3 linked regions of the Arabidopsis thaliana genome follow. The protein of the gene in region 1 interacts with the protein of each later gene in a pairwise test. Each region holds a gene or a part of one and is shown on either strand. Other genes may lie near its edges.

Evidence for each region.
Region 2: the proteins of GRF8 (region 1) and c-NAD-MDH2 interact in a two-hybrid assay, tested with the Arabidopsis thaliana proteins (one study listed by BioGRID).
Region 3: the proteins of GRF8 (region 1) and c-NAD-MDH1 interact in a two-hybrid assay, tested with the Arabidopsis thaliana proteins (one study listed by BioGRID).

Annotation. Positions count from the first base shown.
Region 1 is NC_003076.8:26,147,544-26,153,357, forward strand, and holds GRF8 (general regulatory factor 8), read right to left. Parts: upstream 2,934-5,814; 5' UTR 2,713-2,933; coding exon 2,227-2,712; intron 1,956-2,226; coding exon 1,833-1,955; intron 1,261-1,832; coding exon 1,087-1,260; 3' UTR 1,024-1,086; coding exon of another isoform or gene 1,003-1,023; 3' UTR 839-1,002; downstream 1-838. Other genes in the region: AT5G65440 (uncharacterized protein), read left to right, coding at 4,472-4,507, 4,579-4,920, 5,001-5,149, 5,245-5,501, 5,592-5,814. UniProt on the Arabidopsis thaliana protein: Is associated with a DNA binding complex that binds to the G box, a well-characterized cis-acting DNA regulatory element found in plant genes. Involved in the regulation of nutrient metabolism.
Region 2 is NC_003076.8:17,387,699-17,393,512, forward strand, and holds c-NAD-MDH2 (Lactate/malate dehydrogenase family protein), read left to right. Parts: upstream 1-2,682; 5' UTR 2,683-2,853; coding exon 2,854-2,896; intron 2,897-3,219; coding exon 3,220-3,378; intron 3,379-3,477; coding exon 3,478-3,653; intron 3,654-3,764; coding exon 3,765-4,042; intron 4,043-4,127; coding exon 4,128-4,263; intron 4,264-4,351; coding exon 4,352-4,463; intron 4,464-4,656; coding exon 4,657-4,751; 3' UTR 4,752-5,043; downstream 5,044-5,814. Other genes in the region: ckl8 (casein kinase I-like 8), read right to left, coding at 1-24, 117-178, 285-355, 497-592, 665-813, 889-958, 1,052-1,092, 1,168-1,243.
Region 3 is NC_003070.9:1,188,400-1,194,213, reverse strand, and holds c-NAD-MDH1 (Lactate/malate dehydrogenase family protein), read left to right. Parts: upstream 1-2,755; 5' UTR 2,756-2,946; coding exon 2,947-2,989; intron 2,990-3,308; coding exon 3,309-3,467; intron 3,468-3,573; coding exon 3,574-3,749; intron 3,750-3,906; coding exon 3,907-4,184; intron 4,185-4,273; coding exon 4,274-4,409; intron 4,410-4,501; coding exon 4,502-4,613; intron 4,614-4,701; coding exon 4,702-4,796; 3' UTR 4,797-5,219; downstream 5,220-5,814. Other genes in the region: AT1G04420 (NAD(P)-linked oxidoreductase superfamily protein), read right to left, coding at 515-754, 893-1,071, 1,154-1,289, 1,379-1,496, 1,641-1,801, 1,917-2,000, 2,180-2,275, 2,356-2,580. UniProt on the Arabidopsis thaliana protein: Catalyzes a reversible NAD-dependent dehydrogenase reaction involved in central metabolism and redox homeostasis between organellar compartments.

The sequences.
Region 1 (5,814 bases):
CTAGAGGAATTAATTATTAGAGCAGAGACTTTTACCTTTATATGCCTTCAAAAATTCGTTTCTCCCTCGGCTAATGAGCATTAAGTTCGAGTGAGAACGAGAACTCAAGTAGCAGAACAGAAGAGAACAGAACTAAAAGAACAAAAACAGAGTGTGTTCGACATTTGTAAGAATATAAACTGAATAAGAGAATTCAGATTTCTGAACGAAGAAAGGAGTACTTATAGACTCATAATCTGAATTTCTTACAAAAAAAATATTACATCAAACGGTCGAAAAATGTTACCGTTTCACAACGTTCATAAAAAATGTTACCGTTTCACAACGTTCATATTTTCCTACTCTCAACTCTCAAGTCAAATCAATATAGGAAATCGTAATTACGCTCAAGACTCTCAGGTAAAATATTATTTGTTTTTTTCATTTAACAGTTGTATTATATCTCTGTAATCTCATGAAAATTTGAATCGTCATCACGCATTTACTTGTCTTCCATTGATTTATGAGTCTTCTATAATGATCACTCTTGATGATTTAGGTTGTCTAAACTCCGATTTTTTTTTTTTTTTTTTTTTGTTTCAGCTACTTCTCCGATTTTTAATACGAGTTTCAATTATACATAATACTACTACTAGAAAGCAAATTCTTGAAAACAACTGAACTGAAACCAAACCGTTAACTTGACCACTCATAAGCGAAATCATCTAAAACGCTACACTAAGCGTTTCATCAGTCTCGAGGAACTCACAAACCAAGCTAAGATATTGTTACTTTGTTTGAAATATAAAATTTTGAGAAGAAAAGAAGCAAAGATGAGGATAAATTACCAAACAAAAACAGAGTTGATACAGAGCAGCAGATAACACCAAAGCTGTGCACATAATCTGTCATAAAAAAACAAACTTTTCTTTTCGACAAGTTTTACAGCAAAGGAGGTTGAACTCAGATTTTCGGTTACGGTTGCAGGTACATTACATAACCGTCTTTTCTTCCATTAGACCTTCAGGCCTCATCCATCTGCTCCTGAATAAAGCAGTCGATCATTGAGTTTTGGGGTGTTATTATCCGAATAATCTTATAAGACTATCAATATGCGAGTTTCTGATGATGCAATTGAATATGAAAGTATAGAATTGGGCAAACCTGCATATCGGAGGTCCAAAGGGTTAGATTGTCCCTTAGCAACTGCATGATGAGAGTACTGTCCTTGTATGACTCCTCTCCCAATGTGTCCAGCTCAGCAATGGCTTCTTCAAAAGCCTAGAGGTGATGAATCCAACAAGAACAAGTTAGAAATGCGATGATAAGATGAGCTTTAATAGTCTTATAGAATCTTGTATATGTGATGCATGAGATGTTCCGGATTCAATATGCACCAAAACCCCGATCAGATTCTACACAATCTCGTATGCATAATGTATGAGATATTGTGGTTCTAAAGTCTTGTCATTTTAAGAGATTCTACTGACAAAAGGAATAATTTGGTTAATGTGAAGCGTTAGTCAAAAAAGTTATATCAAAAGAGGACTTTGCAGAATGTCTTTTTCTTTAGAATCTCTGTTTATTAAAAAGAAGTGGGTCCGTTCAGAAAGAAGAAAGAGTTACTTTTTATAAACAACTTGTCTATTTCTGGTAAAGGTTTCAAAATTCCTTCAAATCAACCCAACACAATGAATACAAGATGGGGCCAATAGGAATAGTAAAACAAGTGGTCAAGTTAGTAACTCAAAATGCAAATTACACTCTCCCTAACCAAACTTAAGACAATGATGATCAGACAGAGAAACTCTACTTGAAACAAACATGCAGTATAGTGGATGAAGAAAGAGTACCTGTTTCGCCATGCTACAAGCTTTCTCTGAAGAGTTGAGAATCTCGTAGTAAAACACTGAGAAGTTAAGAGCCAAACCAAGCCTGATCGGATGTGTAGGTGCTAGATCAGCAACTGCAACGTCCTTCAATACAAAAACCCACGAATGAGCAAAAATACATATTTTCAGAACAATTATATATTACTAAGACATATTAGGGAAGCAATTGATCTTAAGCCCAAATAGTAAAAGTTGACTACTTCTAACGATAGGATCAATACAATAGCTAGATTCGAGACCAATTTACTTATTATGAGACAACTGATTACAGATTAGCTAATTGAAGTAATCTCAGAAATAGGGTTTTAGCTCCACAACAGGATCGATTCAAGGATTTAGGGAATCAAAGATATACCTGAGCAGCTTTGTAAGCGATCATAGTATCTTCAGCAGCAGTTTTCCTCTCATCACCAGATTTAAACTCAGCCAAATAACGATGATAATCTCCTTTCATCTTCAGGTAAAAAACCTTAGACTCACTGGCAGTAGCTGAAGGAATTAGATGCGAATCAAGTAACCTGAGAATCCCAGAACAGATCGAAGAAAGCTCAGTCTCAACTTTAGATCTGTAATCCTTAACAAGCGACACGTGTTCTTCGTTCTTCCTGCTCTCTTCCTTTTGCTCAATCGAAGACACGATTCTCCATGCCGCACGAAGAGATCCAATCACGTTCTTATACGCGACCGAGAGAAGATTCCTCTCTTCTACGGTCAGCTCACCGGCCGGTGTAGCTCCACTTACGAGCTGTTCCATGAATTGAACCATCTCTTCGTAACGCTCGGCTTGCTCGGCGAGCTTCGCCATGTAGACATATTGATCTCTGCTTAAGGTCGTCGCCATTAGAGAAGAAGATCTCGCTTTTTTTTTCGATTTCACCGGAAAATTTTGAAATCGGAGGAAATTTCTGGAAGAAAAAAAGAAATTGAGAAGAAGAATAAAAAGCTTCAAAGCCGAGTCATAATGAGCTGTAAAAGGAAATTCTCTTCACTCGCGCGTGATTAACACACTCTGATAAACGACGTCGTTAGTTGAAATAAGGATTAACAGCGTGAAACCCACGTTGAGTGTACGAGGCGCGTGGCTAGGTTTCGGTTTTTTTGATAAGAGCGAGTGAATGGACGATAATAATTTAGTGCGTCAGCTTCCCCAACTAGTTGACACTGTTCAAGGTCAAATGTTAGAATACGGGCTTTTGATTAGGCTTTAGATGGGCTTTTTGAAGCCTGTTAAAGCTATTACCTTGCTGGCTAAGCATATGCGTTTTCGGCGTGACCTGGACACAACTAATGTGGTCGGAGAAAAGGCATATGAAGACAAGAAAAAGTTGTCCAAATTCTTTCTTTCGTTGATATTAATTTTTCTTTTGGTCAATACTCATATTCTTTAATTTCTTATATTGTTGATTAAAGAAAATTAATTATTTTCATTTTCCAATACTTTAAATTTAAAAGACCGGATCAAATTAATTGAATTCGTTTTTTGTGGGTTTTTATTTGTTGATTCATTGTAAATTTCAATAAATGAGAATTGATGAAAATTATGCTATATTAATTTGATTAGTCAAATGAGATAATTGAGATCCGGCAGGACATTTGTTTGGCATGAAAAACAAAATAATAAAGAGTTGGTTAATCAAATGCGACCAAATCATTAGATCGAAAAATCTGAAGAAATCGATTACTCATGTTTTTAATACTGGAAAGTTGTTTAGATTATTTGGGTTAACAAAAATCTGTATACACTCGTAGTTCTTACTAATTTATAACAAAACCTAAATTCTCCAAAACTAATGTAATGCAAATTGATTCTCTGATAGACGCACCGTCACGCGCGCATAACGTTGCCGTTATGGGAGAAAGAAAGGGCGTATCTTCACTTGCCACGTCAGTTTTACGCTAAGCGTAATAAAAGTCGCCGTCACCGTTAATTGACGTCTCCATCCAACGCCGCTCTTCTTCTCCGCTCTCACCGTATATATTTTTTTCCTATGGTGGCGCAATTTTTACTAAACTTACATAAAAAAAAAGGAAGATTAAATAAAAAAAGAGAAAGAAATATAAGAGCTTCCTCAATCGATCTTCCATTTTTCTTCTTCTTCATTGTGAAATTTGAGTCCAATGACTGTCACTGGTCGAATTTTCCACCTGTAGTCAATTTGAAGAAATTTAACCAGTTTGTTCTACTGGAAAAATTTCTGGTTTCACACTTGTGTTGACTCTTTCACTGGAAAAAAAGAAACGAAAAAACTCCGAAGAGTCTTCTCTGGGCAGTGTAAGTAAGCTAATGCATTAACATTTTTTGGCATTGAGAAGTAGATCGATTCTTCAATTTTGTGAGTTTCCGTTCACGATTTCGCTTTCTTTCATGTGAATTTCGTGAAAGAGAGAAAAAGTAATTCTCATCTTTCTTGCTACATTCTCTTTTTGCCGTTTTCACTAGAATTTCGCTTTTGTAGCCTTCGATTCGTTTGATTTCGTTTGATTTCGTTTCAGTTGCTATGTTTTAGGGATTTCATTATAGAACTGAGATTTGATTGTTGAATGTGAATGAAAATTTTGATAATTTTTCTTCTGAAATTTAGGTTAAAAGGTAAGGAGCAATGTTCAGGGAAGCTGGCTTAAGAAACATAGGAGAGGTACGAACAAAAACTTTATCTGCATTTTTCGATGTTGTTTGATTTTGCTGTAACTAATGCTTGTTTTGTAGGATGTTGATTCGAGGTGGACGATTGGTAATCGGAAATTGGATGCTAAGTCTGTTCCCAATGCCAATTCTGGTCATGGTTTTGGATTCAGGAGTGCTCCTCCATTGTCTTCATCAATTAAACCCGTGAGAGGTAATAACAATGGTGGTTCAAGTTCAGACATGGACATTGCTTCTGATTCAGATGAAGAGATATTCGAGAGGCAACACTCTCCTCAAGATTATAGAATTCATCTTGGTTTGCCTCACGTCGCAGCTCAAAATGGACTTGGACGTAATGGTGCTAAGGTCTTTGGTGCTGCTGATGATTTATCTGACTCAGCTACTAGCACTGAAGTTTCATATGTACTTACTTTTTACCCCCTTGTCTCTCGTTTTCCTTTACCGTTTCTAAATATGTTCTGATTTGATTATCATGTTTACAGGAAGCAGAAGCTTGTGGTGTGCGGAACAATATATCTTCACATAATGAATTTGAAAGACGAAATGTTGAGGCTGGAACTTCAGGAAGGACTCTGAACGGGACAAGCACTTCAACAAGTTCATTGCCTCGTTTCCCCACCTTTCATGCGAGGTTTGAGTTACATTGCTGACTTAGATTTTGCTTTCTTGTTTTTTTAATCCTCTGTGATTATTCATTCCATCATTTTTTGTGTGGTTTGAATGCAGTGAGCAAGGTCCATGGTCTGCGATGATTGCCTATGAAGCCTGTGTACGGTTATGTCTTCATTCATGGTCAACGGATAGTGTCAGCGAGGCTTCTTACTTCCTCAACAATGAATGCACCATAATGCGGAATGCATTTAGTTTGCAGAGGTTTTTCCTTCATTCTGAAGAAGAGTTACTGGGAAAGGGACCTTCTGAGTTGGTTACTGAGACGTCTGTTCCAAAATCGAAGAAGACTATTGGAAAAATTAAACTCCAAGGTATACACATTTGTATCTTTTTTCCCTTCCACTGTATTTTACCACTTGTAGAAATCGCAGTAGTGCTTACAAGAGTAAGATTTTGTACAGTTCGTAGAATTAAAATGGGATTAGATCCACCACCTGGCTGTAACATTGCAACACTGACGGTCTCCAAGGAAAAGCTCGAAGTTGTTCGTCACCATATTGTGGAACTGAATTCGACTTTATCTTCTGGATGGAAAGCAGCGAGGAAAGTTCATGTCACTCCCCAAGTTCCTCTAAATGGTTCACTTTCGCGTCAAAGTTTGGCTTACATGCAGGCTGCTGCTCG
Region 2 (5,814 bases), 8.8 Mb from region 1:
CCAGATCGTCCCTCCTACTTTGCTCTGTTTAAAGGATCTCAATTTAGTTTGATAAACGTACAAATAGTCAAGTTTTTAATGTGAAAATGAAAGAAGAAAAAGCAAACAATACTCACCAATTCCAAGATGAGTGTTAACACTTGCATATCGAGCTGTTCCAGTAAGATTCTTGTTTTCCCTAATAAGTAACTCTCGATTAGTAAATATATTACCAATATTTCACTAACAATTCGAAAATTTTAAATTGAGCAAAACTTTTTAACAAGAAAAAGAAAAATGTGTACCTGTAGGGAATGTGTCTATGAGTTTGGAGATCTCTATACTTTTTTGCAAGTCCGTAGTCAATGATGTACACCTAGACAAGAACAAAGATGACATATCAGAGAAAAGATGCAAACATATAGAAGGATTCACAAGGTAGTAGCAAAAGAAATTCCAAAACCAAACAAGTATATTATCATTCCACACAATAAAGTTGCATACCATAACTACTCACCTGGTTCGCTTTGCGTCCAAGACCCATCAAAAAGTTATCAGGCTTTATGTCACGATGAAGAAATCCCCGGACATGCATATACTCAACTCTATTGATCTGAAGAAATCAAATCATGAGCAACACAATAACTCAAACATATCAGAGAAAAGGTAGATAATATATCCGTACCATTTGATCTGCGAGCATTAGAACCGTCTTTAGATTGAACCTCCGACTACAATAATTAAATAAATCCTCCATACTCGGACCCAAAAGGTCAATCACCATACAGTTGTATTCACCCTCAACCCCATACCATTTTAGATGTGGAATACCAGCTTCAAGAACACAAATGTAAAAGTTAATAAAAGAACGATAACTGAAGGTTTAAACCGACAAAAGGCAAAACTTACTTCCTCCTTGAAGAAGCATATAAAGCTTTGATTCATAATGAAGTTGAGGATGTCTAGCTCTCGCAGGTTCCTACAAAGAAAAAAACCAAAGTTTTAGTAATCAAGAATGAGTTTTTACACATTACTGAATTGAAAAGGGTAATAGTCAAATGTTGAGACTTACAAGCTTCACAGCAACTTCTTCTCCAGTTTGTACATTAACCCCTGAAAACAAAAGAGTTATTACAAAAGCAAAACTTGGAATTACCAAAAGACAGAAGAAACTTCAAATCACATTACCTAGAAAAAGTTCACCAAATGATCCACTTCCAAGTTTACGTCCAAGCTTATACTTACCACCAACCACACGATCCATCGTTACCAAATCAAAAAGCTTCCTCCTTTCTTCGATCTCTTAAAACAACTAATCCCCAACAAAACCAAAAGTTGACCCAGATCTCAATTCAATGTTCCCTACCTCTCTAAAAGCCTGATCGAAATTCAAAGATCCCCAATTCAAATTCTAGTAAGAACCCTTCAAATATCTGAATCAAATCAAAATTGTAATCGATTCACCAAGTAATCTTATGCTTCTGCTTTAACACAAACTAAAAATCACCCATTGACCAACAACATCTTCATAGAAAGTCTGACACTTTTTTTCAGACAAAAGCTTTAGATCAGATTGAAGAAACACAAAATGAAACGGAAGAGACAAAACCAAAACAAAAAAAAAAGGTGAAAAGAACAAAGAGAGACGAAATCAGACCCAAAAAAAAAAAAAATGGGTCGTTGGATTCGATTATCGTTTGATCTATAAAGACTGCTACGAGACAGCTTGATTCACTATTTTTTTCTCTTTTTTTTTTGCTGAATTTTTTTTTTCTTAAGGAAGATAATGGATTAGAGACGAAACCAAACGTTAAAAGAAAAATGAAAAAGAAATCTGACGAGACGGCCTTGAAGAAGAGATTTTGAGATTTTCTTTCCTTATCCCTAATTTTTTACAACTTTTTATTTTTTTGCTTAACTAATTTGTTTTCTTTTTCTCCAAATTTGATTTATTCTTCATTAACTGTAAACAGTAACGTCACTATATGAAAAAGATGATAATTAATGACATAAAATTAGTTGGATTTTAATATTTTCTAGCATCTTTATTTTCTTCCGCTCAAGCAATATTGATTATTTTTTGGTAGGCCTCAAGCAATATTGATATTTGATTTGAAACTATTACATAAAAAATATCATAAAAAAACATAATATTCTACCAAAAAATGAGTATTTGATAATATATTTTTAAAAGTAAACAAAACAAAATTTGTCTCGAAACTATCAGATACACCATAAAAAAAAAATTGGTACTATTTATAAAATACTATATAATCACTTGATTGTTAAATTTGCTTTTTAATTTTTATTGGTAATAAGAAAAATTATTACTAACTCGATAAACCCTGATATAAAATATTTTATTATGTAGAATAAAGTAATATAATAGAATCGAATTTCGATTGATATTATATTATCTTCTTTTTTTGTTTAGACCATTTCTTCAATAACAGTGTCAAACATATAATGACATGCATTTTCTACAAAGACAGCTAGAACTTTAGTTTTATATATTCAGACACCACTTACAAAAGAAGAAAATATTAATTAAACATGAAAAAAGTAAACATTGAACATCCCCATTTAATTAGGGCTTTACCAAATTAGTCGGTACGATAAACTCGTCTAAACATTAAATGGGCTTAATTAGTTGGGCTTATTTTAACACTAAATTGGCCCATTATAACTTCCCAAAATGATATTGGTTCGAGATGATTCGATAACGTGGGCATCAATCCATGGATCATCTCAGCTTTCACCATCACCAATAAATAAACACACAGGTCTGCTTTCATACCTTCACGCTCTCTCACTGATCATTCACAATCTCTCTCTTTTTTTCACCGGCGATAATTTTCCGATCTCGATTATAAGATGGCGAAGGAACCAGTTCGTGTTCTTGTTACCGGAGCTGCAGGTAAAATTCTTATTTCTCCGATCTTGTTTCTTCCATCTCTCGTTATTGATTCGTATCGTCAGATCTTTATGTAACACCAATTTTTCATAATCCAAAAATGTAAACGATCATTGAATCATATTTTCGATTCCTATAGTGAGATCTGAAGAGAGAAATTGATTGGATCATTTGGTGAATCCTGTTACATTTTGAGATGTAATTGTCATTTTGGATCAGTTATTTGATTTTATCATGATTTGTTCTGATTTTGTAAGCTTTATTTGGCGATTGATTTGTAATTTTGTGTGTAGATCATGTTTAAGTGTGTTTCTGTTATTGTGCAGGACAAATCGGATATGCTCTTGTTCCTATGATTGCAAGGGGGATAATGCTTGGTGCTGATCAGCCTGTGATCCTCCACATGCTTGACATCCCTTTTGCAGCAGAAGCTTTGAACGGTGTGAAGATGGAATTGGTCGATGCTGCTTTCCCTCTTCTAAAGGGTAAGTTTTTATTCTAGTATATATTTTTACTGTGCTCGTATTGGAATATGGTATGTTGCTTGAGGCTGAAATGTGATGTTGGTGTTTTTTCTGTGGAAGGTGTGGTGGCTACAACTGATGCTGTTGAAGCGTGTACCGGTGTTAATGTTGCTGTCATGGTTGGTGGTTTCCCGAGGAAGGAAGGAATGGAGAGGAAGGATGTTATGTCCAAGAACGTTTCCATTTACAAGTCTCAAGCTTCTGCCTTGGAGAAGCATGCTGCACCAAACTGCAAGGTGATAAGTCTTTTCGAATCGTTCTTATGATCATTATGCAGAAATTAAGCAAGTTAATCTCTTATTTTGTTGTATGAGATATTTCATATTTGCTATCTCTTCGTTTTGTAGGTTCTGGTTGTTGCAAACCCTGCAAACACCAATGCATTGATCCTGAAGGAATTTGCACCATCGATCCCAGAGAAGAACATTACTTGCTTGACCAGGCTTGACCACAACAGGGCATTGGGACAAGTGTCTGAGAGGTTAAGCGTACCAGTGTCTGATGTGAAGAACGTGATTATCTGGGGAAACCACTCATCAACCCAATACCCAGATGTCAACCACGCTACCGTTAAGACTTCCGTTGGAGAGAAGCCAGTGCGTGAGCTAGTCAAGAATGACGAGTGGTAAAAATCTCTAAAACACCCTTTTAATATCTCAATCTAGTTTCGTGAATGTGATGCTCATGTATGTTAGCAACTAATGTTGTAGGTTGAATGGAGAGTTCATCTCTACCGTTCAACAACGTGGTGCTGCCATTATCAAGGCCAGGAAGCTGTCTAGTGCACTTTCTGCAGCTAGCTCAGCTTGTGACCATATCCGTGATTGGGTTGTTGGAACACCTGAGGTTCGTCATTACTACTGTTTTATCTCGAATCAATTGGTTGTTTTGTGTACTAAGTAAAACTAATATGTTCTTCGACTTGATTTCTCAGGGCACATTTGTTTCAATGGGAGTATACTCAGATGGATCCTACAATGTTCCAGCTGGACTTATCTACTCCTTCCCCGTAACCTGCCGTAATGGAGAGTGGACCATTGTTCAAGGTAAATATATTTCTCGTAACCAAAAGTTATACACAATGTTCTTAAGAGAATCCTAGCCTAAAGCTGACCCGTGTAACGGAACCGTAAACTGGATTGTCTACTTCTAATCCTAAGTGTGCAAGGCTGGTTCTCGCTGCGATGATTAGCTCATAGAACTAGATATTGGTCTAATATGTGTTGTTGTTATTCACAGGTTTACCGATTGATGACGCATCGAGGAAGAAGATGGATTTGACAGCAGAGGAGTTGAAGGAAGAGAAGGACCTCGCTTACTCATGCCTCTCTTAAACCGGTCTTTTCTCAGCTGGTTTAATCAGTGAAAGCTTTGTTTCGAATAAAGAAGTTTTGTTATAAAATGAACTTTTAATAACCTCATGAGCTTGAGGTTTAGTTTTCCTAATGTGCCCATGATGTGTCGGTACTGATTTGCTGACCAGATATAAACAATCATTTTGATAATTGACCTCTTTTGGTTTCCTTTCGTAACGGGAGAGTGGAGAGTGGAGAGACAACAACAACTCGAATTTTTTGGTAGACTTTTTCAGATATGGGCCAAAGCTTTGTTGGGTATTCTTTTGGCCCATATGAAAAAAATACAAAAGATTTCGCAATTGTGAAATAAACAGCTTAAGAATAGTATTATAGAATAAAATCTCGCAATAATATACTCCATGGTTTTTATGCGATTTAGAACAATGGGATAATACTAAATTAATAATTTGAATTAATTTTACGTAATAATTTTACGTAACATTTATTTTTTAATTTACTATTATTATTTAATTATGCTATTTTTACTATTTACCAGTTCATCCAAATATAAAACCTTATTAGCCTATCAAAAAAAGAAAACGTAAAACCCTATTTCATAGGTTTTTATCTAAAACTAAAACCCTATTCTATGAGTTTTTTCTCCAAGACTTGCAGTCACTTTGATTTATCTTGTAATTTTATTTTTAAATATAATTTTTTTTCTATAAAAGAGCAAATATAGCTGCAGAAGATAATGATTTGTTGGGTATTGTTGATAACTCTTTTTTTTTCTTCTAATTCCTGATGAATTATCGACGGCTTAATTCATGTCCTCTTTTTTTTCCTGGACATTGAATGTTAGTGACAAGTCTATATAGGACCTAAATACATTCCAACCTTAACATTTATTATTGGCAATAAATATTGCTATACATATTTTTCTCATGTTATCTACTAATCTGTTTGTTGTTTTACTTTTGATATCAGCTTCTAATAACAATAACATTTTTTTTTTTTTATAAAATCTGTTTGATGAAAAAGATAATAATTCAAAAAAAGTAGGAAAACTCATAGTGCAACTAAATAAATCTAAACAAAA
Region 3 (5,814 bases), on another chromosome or scaffold:
AGAGTTTTTAAAGTTTCCATTTACATCTTTTGGATTATGTTTTTAACGATATCGGAGGCTGTGTGTATTACTATATATAGAGAAGCTTTCTTTACCGTTGAGAAAAAGTAGTAACGGATAGTTTCTGAATTTTGAAGTAAGTTACCGTTTCTAAGTTACCGTTCCCGTTCTGACATCTCAACGGTTAAATCACAGTTACCTTGTCCGCAACACGTGTTACAATTAAAAAAGTTTTATTCTTGCTGGGCTGTCGAGACCGGCCCAAACCCATCAATTTGTTTTTTAATTTTTACATGTCCGATATGAGGCTTAAAGGATAAACTGGATTTGATTTAAGGTCCATTATATAGATCAATAAAAGCGTTCAAACGTTATGCGCAACTGTGGTACGTCATTACATGGGAGTTCTGTATATCCGTCATATCAAAACAACTGTAAGAAAGCAAATCAAGCTATATATAACTTATGGACTTTCACCGTGAGCTCACAAACTCATGAGAAACCTTCTTTTCTTTCAAACGAAAGAAGGGTCTTTGAACCTCTTGAAAACGGCGTCAATGTCTGCCATAACTTCCTGCGAAAACGGCCGCTCCGTCATCAGAAAAGCATCAATGTCTTCTTTAAGTTGTTTTACCGATGTGGCCCCGATGATCGTGCTCGTCACAAAGGGCCTGTCACGTACAAACCCGAGTGCTAACTCAACCGGAGTTAAACCGTACTTCTTCGCCACCTCAACGTATTGTATGGTTGCTTCCTGAAATCAGAACAAAGATAAAATTGACCTCAAAACACTTTTACGAATATGGCTTTACAACTAGATTCGAGCTAATACTGTTTCTTAAATTGTTTTACGACATAAGAAGAAGTAAGCATAGTTGGATCAAGAAGAAACCTTGGCTAGTGATCCCTTGTAACGTTCCATATATCCTGGGAAAAGATTCAGCCTTGCATTTTTTGTAGCTTCTTGGTCTGTAGCCAAGTATTTCCCAGACAACGAGCCGCCTCCAAGAGGGGAATAAGCAAGCAAGCCAACATTGCAATTTTTTGGGTGGCATACTTCTACCAGATCAACTGTGGTTTTAACCCAAAACAAAAGAGTTTAGAACATGCTCCTCCGACACACTTGCTCTCAAGGTATTCTAGAAAGATTTACCTTCATACCGACATCTAACTAGCAAGCTGTAACCATTCTGGATGCTCACAATCTTTGGTAGTCCTTCGAGTTTTGCTGTGTTAACAAACTCCGTCACTCCGTATGAAGTTTCATTCGAGACACCGATATAGCGAACCTGTTGCAGAATTCGAGGAACACTTCAAAACTCTGTGTTTGAGGTTATATAACTCAATATAACATCTGATTTTTAAGGAGTAGCACTACCTTTCCTTCAACTATGAGATCCTGAAAGGCTCTTAGTTGCTCAGCGAATGGCACACTAGGTCTCCATTTCGACGTTTCATAGTAAAAATCACCGAAGAGTGGTACGTATCGATCTGGCCTGGACTGAAAAAAAGATCAGTGTCATGATTTTCTGACATTTGATGATGAAAAACGAAATATTTTGCGCATGAAATAGAAAGACACTTGCTCAAACAATGTAGAATATGAGTTAAGACATAAAGCAAAAATAAGGCGATGTTACCAGTGTATTTGAAGCAAGTCAATGTAATCAGTTCCAAGGCGCTTAAGACTTTTCTCAACACTTTCTTTGATATTAGCAGCATCTACACGCAGAATCTCACCACTGTCCCTTATGTAAGCTGACCTTTCTGAGTACCCACATACTTTAGTTGCCAAAACTATCTGTATACAGAAACAATGAACATCAATATCAATTTTTATAACTTCGATTAGGTTTTGCTGATATCATATACATTCGTGACCAATATGCATCCAAAGTATGATAAATGGTTGATACCTTGTCACGTTGCTGAGACTTCAACCAGCTACTGATATAAAGATCCGTTTTACCTTGCGTCTCCTTCTTCATCGGTATGGGATACTGGAAATAAACAATGATACTTGAAAATTTACCACAGACTAAGCAGATTCCAGAAAGCTAAACACAACAGTGCTAAATTCACCAGAATTATATATAAAGTATAAAACATTCACATAAACACTTGCAATCAAATTCACCAGGCAAGAAGAGAAAGATGAACAATGAAGATAAAAACTCACAGCTTCAGCAGTGTCAATGCAATTGATGCCCTCTTCAATTGCATAACTCAGCATCTCATGAGATTCTTTCTCAGTATTTTGCTCCCCAAATGTCATCTGAAATTCCAAATTTCATCAAAACTTCAAAATTGAACAATGGACTACAATTGCAGGAGATAAAGAGAGATTGTTCTTACAGTGCCCATAGTAACTTCGCTGATGTTGAGATCGGAATCTCCTAATTTCCTATACTCCATAGCATTCTTCGTCGACGCTTTCGCCGAAACTCTCAATATTCTCCTCCGAGCATTCGGCGATAGAGTAACACGGCGGCGCGTGAATGCCAAACGAAAGACTCCTCGAATGTTACTGCTGCTGACCACCGGAGTGACCGTTGAGTAGGTGACGTAAGATGACGCCATACCGGAGGTTGTCGTGGACGTGGTTCTTCTCGCCTTATCGCCACCATTATCTACTGTTTTGATTCACGTATTTGAATACTCTGGGCTAAACGATTTGGGCCTAATGTAAGAGGCCCATTAGAGTCAAAAATATATATTGAATAATATCTTGTTTTCCTAATATGATAGGTCTAATCTCAGATTTCGATTTATTTCTTCGAGATAATATGATTATATTAGATGACGTGGCGGTACATCCTTCGATATCTTCGATAAATACGCAAGAGTGAGCTTCACGGTCAGACAAAAGCTGACTCTACGCTCTCTCAAAAGTCGAATATCCCAAATTCGATCCGTTTTCCGGCGATAATCTCCGATCTAGATCCGATGGCGAAAGAACCAGTTCGTGTGCTCGTTACTGGAGCTGCAGGTATAACTTTCATCTATATCCGATTAGATCGTGTAACTTCTAGATCTCTGGCTAGTGAATCGCTTGCTGAATCTAGTCAGATCTCTGCATAGTATCTGGTTGTTCCATAGATCAATGAAATATAGGTCAACTCTTGTTCCGTTGGATTCAACGCTGACCAACGATTGATTGAGTTGGTCGCATATCTAATTTTAGTAAAAGTTATTTCATGGATCGAACTCTGATTTAGAAACCGTTGTTTATATAGTTGGATAGAGTTTAAGTTGTGACTTTAGATCTCCTCAGCTACTGAAAGTAACTATTGATTGTGATTATGCAGGACAAATCGGATATGCTCTTGTACCTATGATTGCAAGGGGTATCATGCTTGGTGCTGACCAACCTGTTATCCTCCACATGTTGGATATTCCTCCAGCTGCTGAAGCTTTGAACGGTGTTAAGATGGAGTTGATCGATGCTGCTTTCCCTCTTCTTAAAGGTAGTTAAGGGTTTTGTTTTGCTGTGGATATTTGCATTCCGTGTCATAAGTTGTTTTGTATAAGTGGGAAAGGAGAAGATGAATATTTGATGTGTATTATTATCAGGTGTTGTTGCTACAACTGATGCCGTTGAGGGATGTACTGGAGTCAATGTTGCTGTTATGGTTGGTGGTTTCCCGAGGAAAGAAGGTATGGAGAGGAAGGATGTGATGTCCAAGAATGTTTCCATCTACAAGTCTCAGGCTGCTGCCTTGGAGAAGCATGCCGCTCCTAACTGCAAGGTGATACGATCTGTTTGCTTTTTAAGTTAAATGAAGCCACTGCATCCAATCTTCTCTGTTCATTGGAGTGTAACAGATGCTTTGTGTTCTCTATTGGGTTCTAGTTTACGACTCTCTTGCTCACACATTCGCTCTCGTTTTGTCTTTTTTTTTTCAGGTTCTTGTTGTGGCCAACCCGGCAAACACCAACGCATTGATCCTCAAGGAATTTGCACCATCAATCCCTGAAAAGAACATCTCTTGTTTGACAAGGCTTGACCACAACAGGGCTTTGGGACAGATCTCTGAGAGGTTGAGCGTGCCAGTGTCTGATGTTAAGAACGTGATCATCTGGGGAAACCACTCATCCTCACAGTACCCAGATGTCAACCATGCTAAAGTGCAGACCTCGTCTGGAGAGAAGCCTGTCCGTGAGCTCGTCAAGGACGATGCATGGTATGTATAACATGCCATAGAACTTAAGACCCTTTCTCTTCTCTGGAAGCAAAATCTAGTTTCACTTAAATATATTGCTCATTCTGTAGGTTGGACGGAGAATTTATCTCTACAGTTCAACAACGTGGAGCTGCAATCATCAAGGCGAGGAAGTTGTCTAGTGCGCTCTCTGCTGCTAGCTCTGCTTGTGACCACATCCGTGACTGGGTCCTTGGAACTCCAGAGGTTCATAATAAAACTCTTCCCCGTTATTTGCAGTGCTGTTTTTTTGTAACAGTTAATCTAATATGAGTTCTTTCTTTGATTCAAATTGTCAGGGTACGTTCGTTTCCATGGGAGTATACTCCGATGGCTCTTACAGCGTTCCATCAGGACTTATCTACTCCTTCCCTGTAACTTGTCGCAATGGAGACTGGAGTATTGTCCAAGGTAAATATGACGCACTTACAAACTCAAATGCTCATCAATTATGAAATCCTAGATTCTGCAGACCCTAATGTGTATTTTGTTTGGTTAGGCCTTCCGATTGATGAAGTATCAAGGAAGAAGATGGATTTGACTGCAGAGGAGCTCAAGGAAGAGAAGGACTTGGCGTACTCATGCCTCTCTTAAACCCTTCTGGAGCAAAATTTTCATCTATAAGGTGTGAGATCAGTTAAAGCCTTTCAGGGCTTTGTCCGAATAAGAAGTGTGTTTGAAAGATCTCCAAACACTGTTTTATAACCTCTTTGGTCTCTTTGATGAGTATTGTCCCTGGTCTGTTTCTAAACCAGGATATCGTTTTTTTCAATGTGTCTGATTTGGTTTACCCATGAAAAGAAGAAAATTGGCAGTTGCATGGTTATCTTTTGCGATTATTTTTTTCTGCTTTAGCAATTAGCCCAAAATTGATGAGCTCTTCGATAATGGGTTTGTGCAATTGTGATTTGTGAGGAATGGTGTTATTGTGTTGCAATTGCAAAAAGAAATGCTACTCTTGCAGATTCATACCAAAACCAAATCACTAGATTAAACTGAAATTCTAATGTGGATTATTTTAATTTTACTTCTATTTTTCTTCACCCAAATATTTTATAACCAAACACCAAGTTGACACCAAAATATACATCCAAAAAACTTAGATTGCTTCTATTTTACGACTATCCGAAATCGAATCATAAACCGTAGGCAATGGTCCATTAATAAGGGGTATACGAGGATTCAAAGTTTGAGAGAACTTTTTTATCTTTACCTTTTTCCTTTTGTAAAGTAAAAGCAGTGGATTTTGATTATAGATTCTACTTGGTAATGACTAATGAGAATCAAGTTCTCACCTTTAAGCCATATAGACTTTAGATATTTAATGGATTCTACAAAAGTGGGCATGACCAGAATCGAGTTCATGAACCACCGTCCTCGGCCCCAACGTTAAAAAACTTTTTTCTCTAGCATAAGAAGATAAGAGTATCTTCACTGCGCTTTAGGCCCACTCAACATTCAAACAAAATTCGATCTCTTATAAAAAAATATCTCACAAGAGAAAGTTCGTACATGATCCCGATAAAATCGTAGATGAGCAAATCAAAGATGAGATGTCGGTAAAAAAAACGCTATTATAAGAACACACGCCACTAGTTGTGGATAAAGTTGT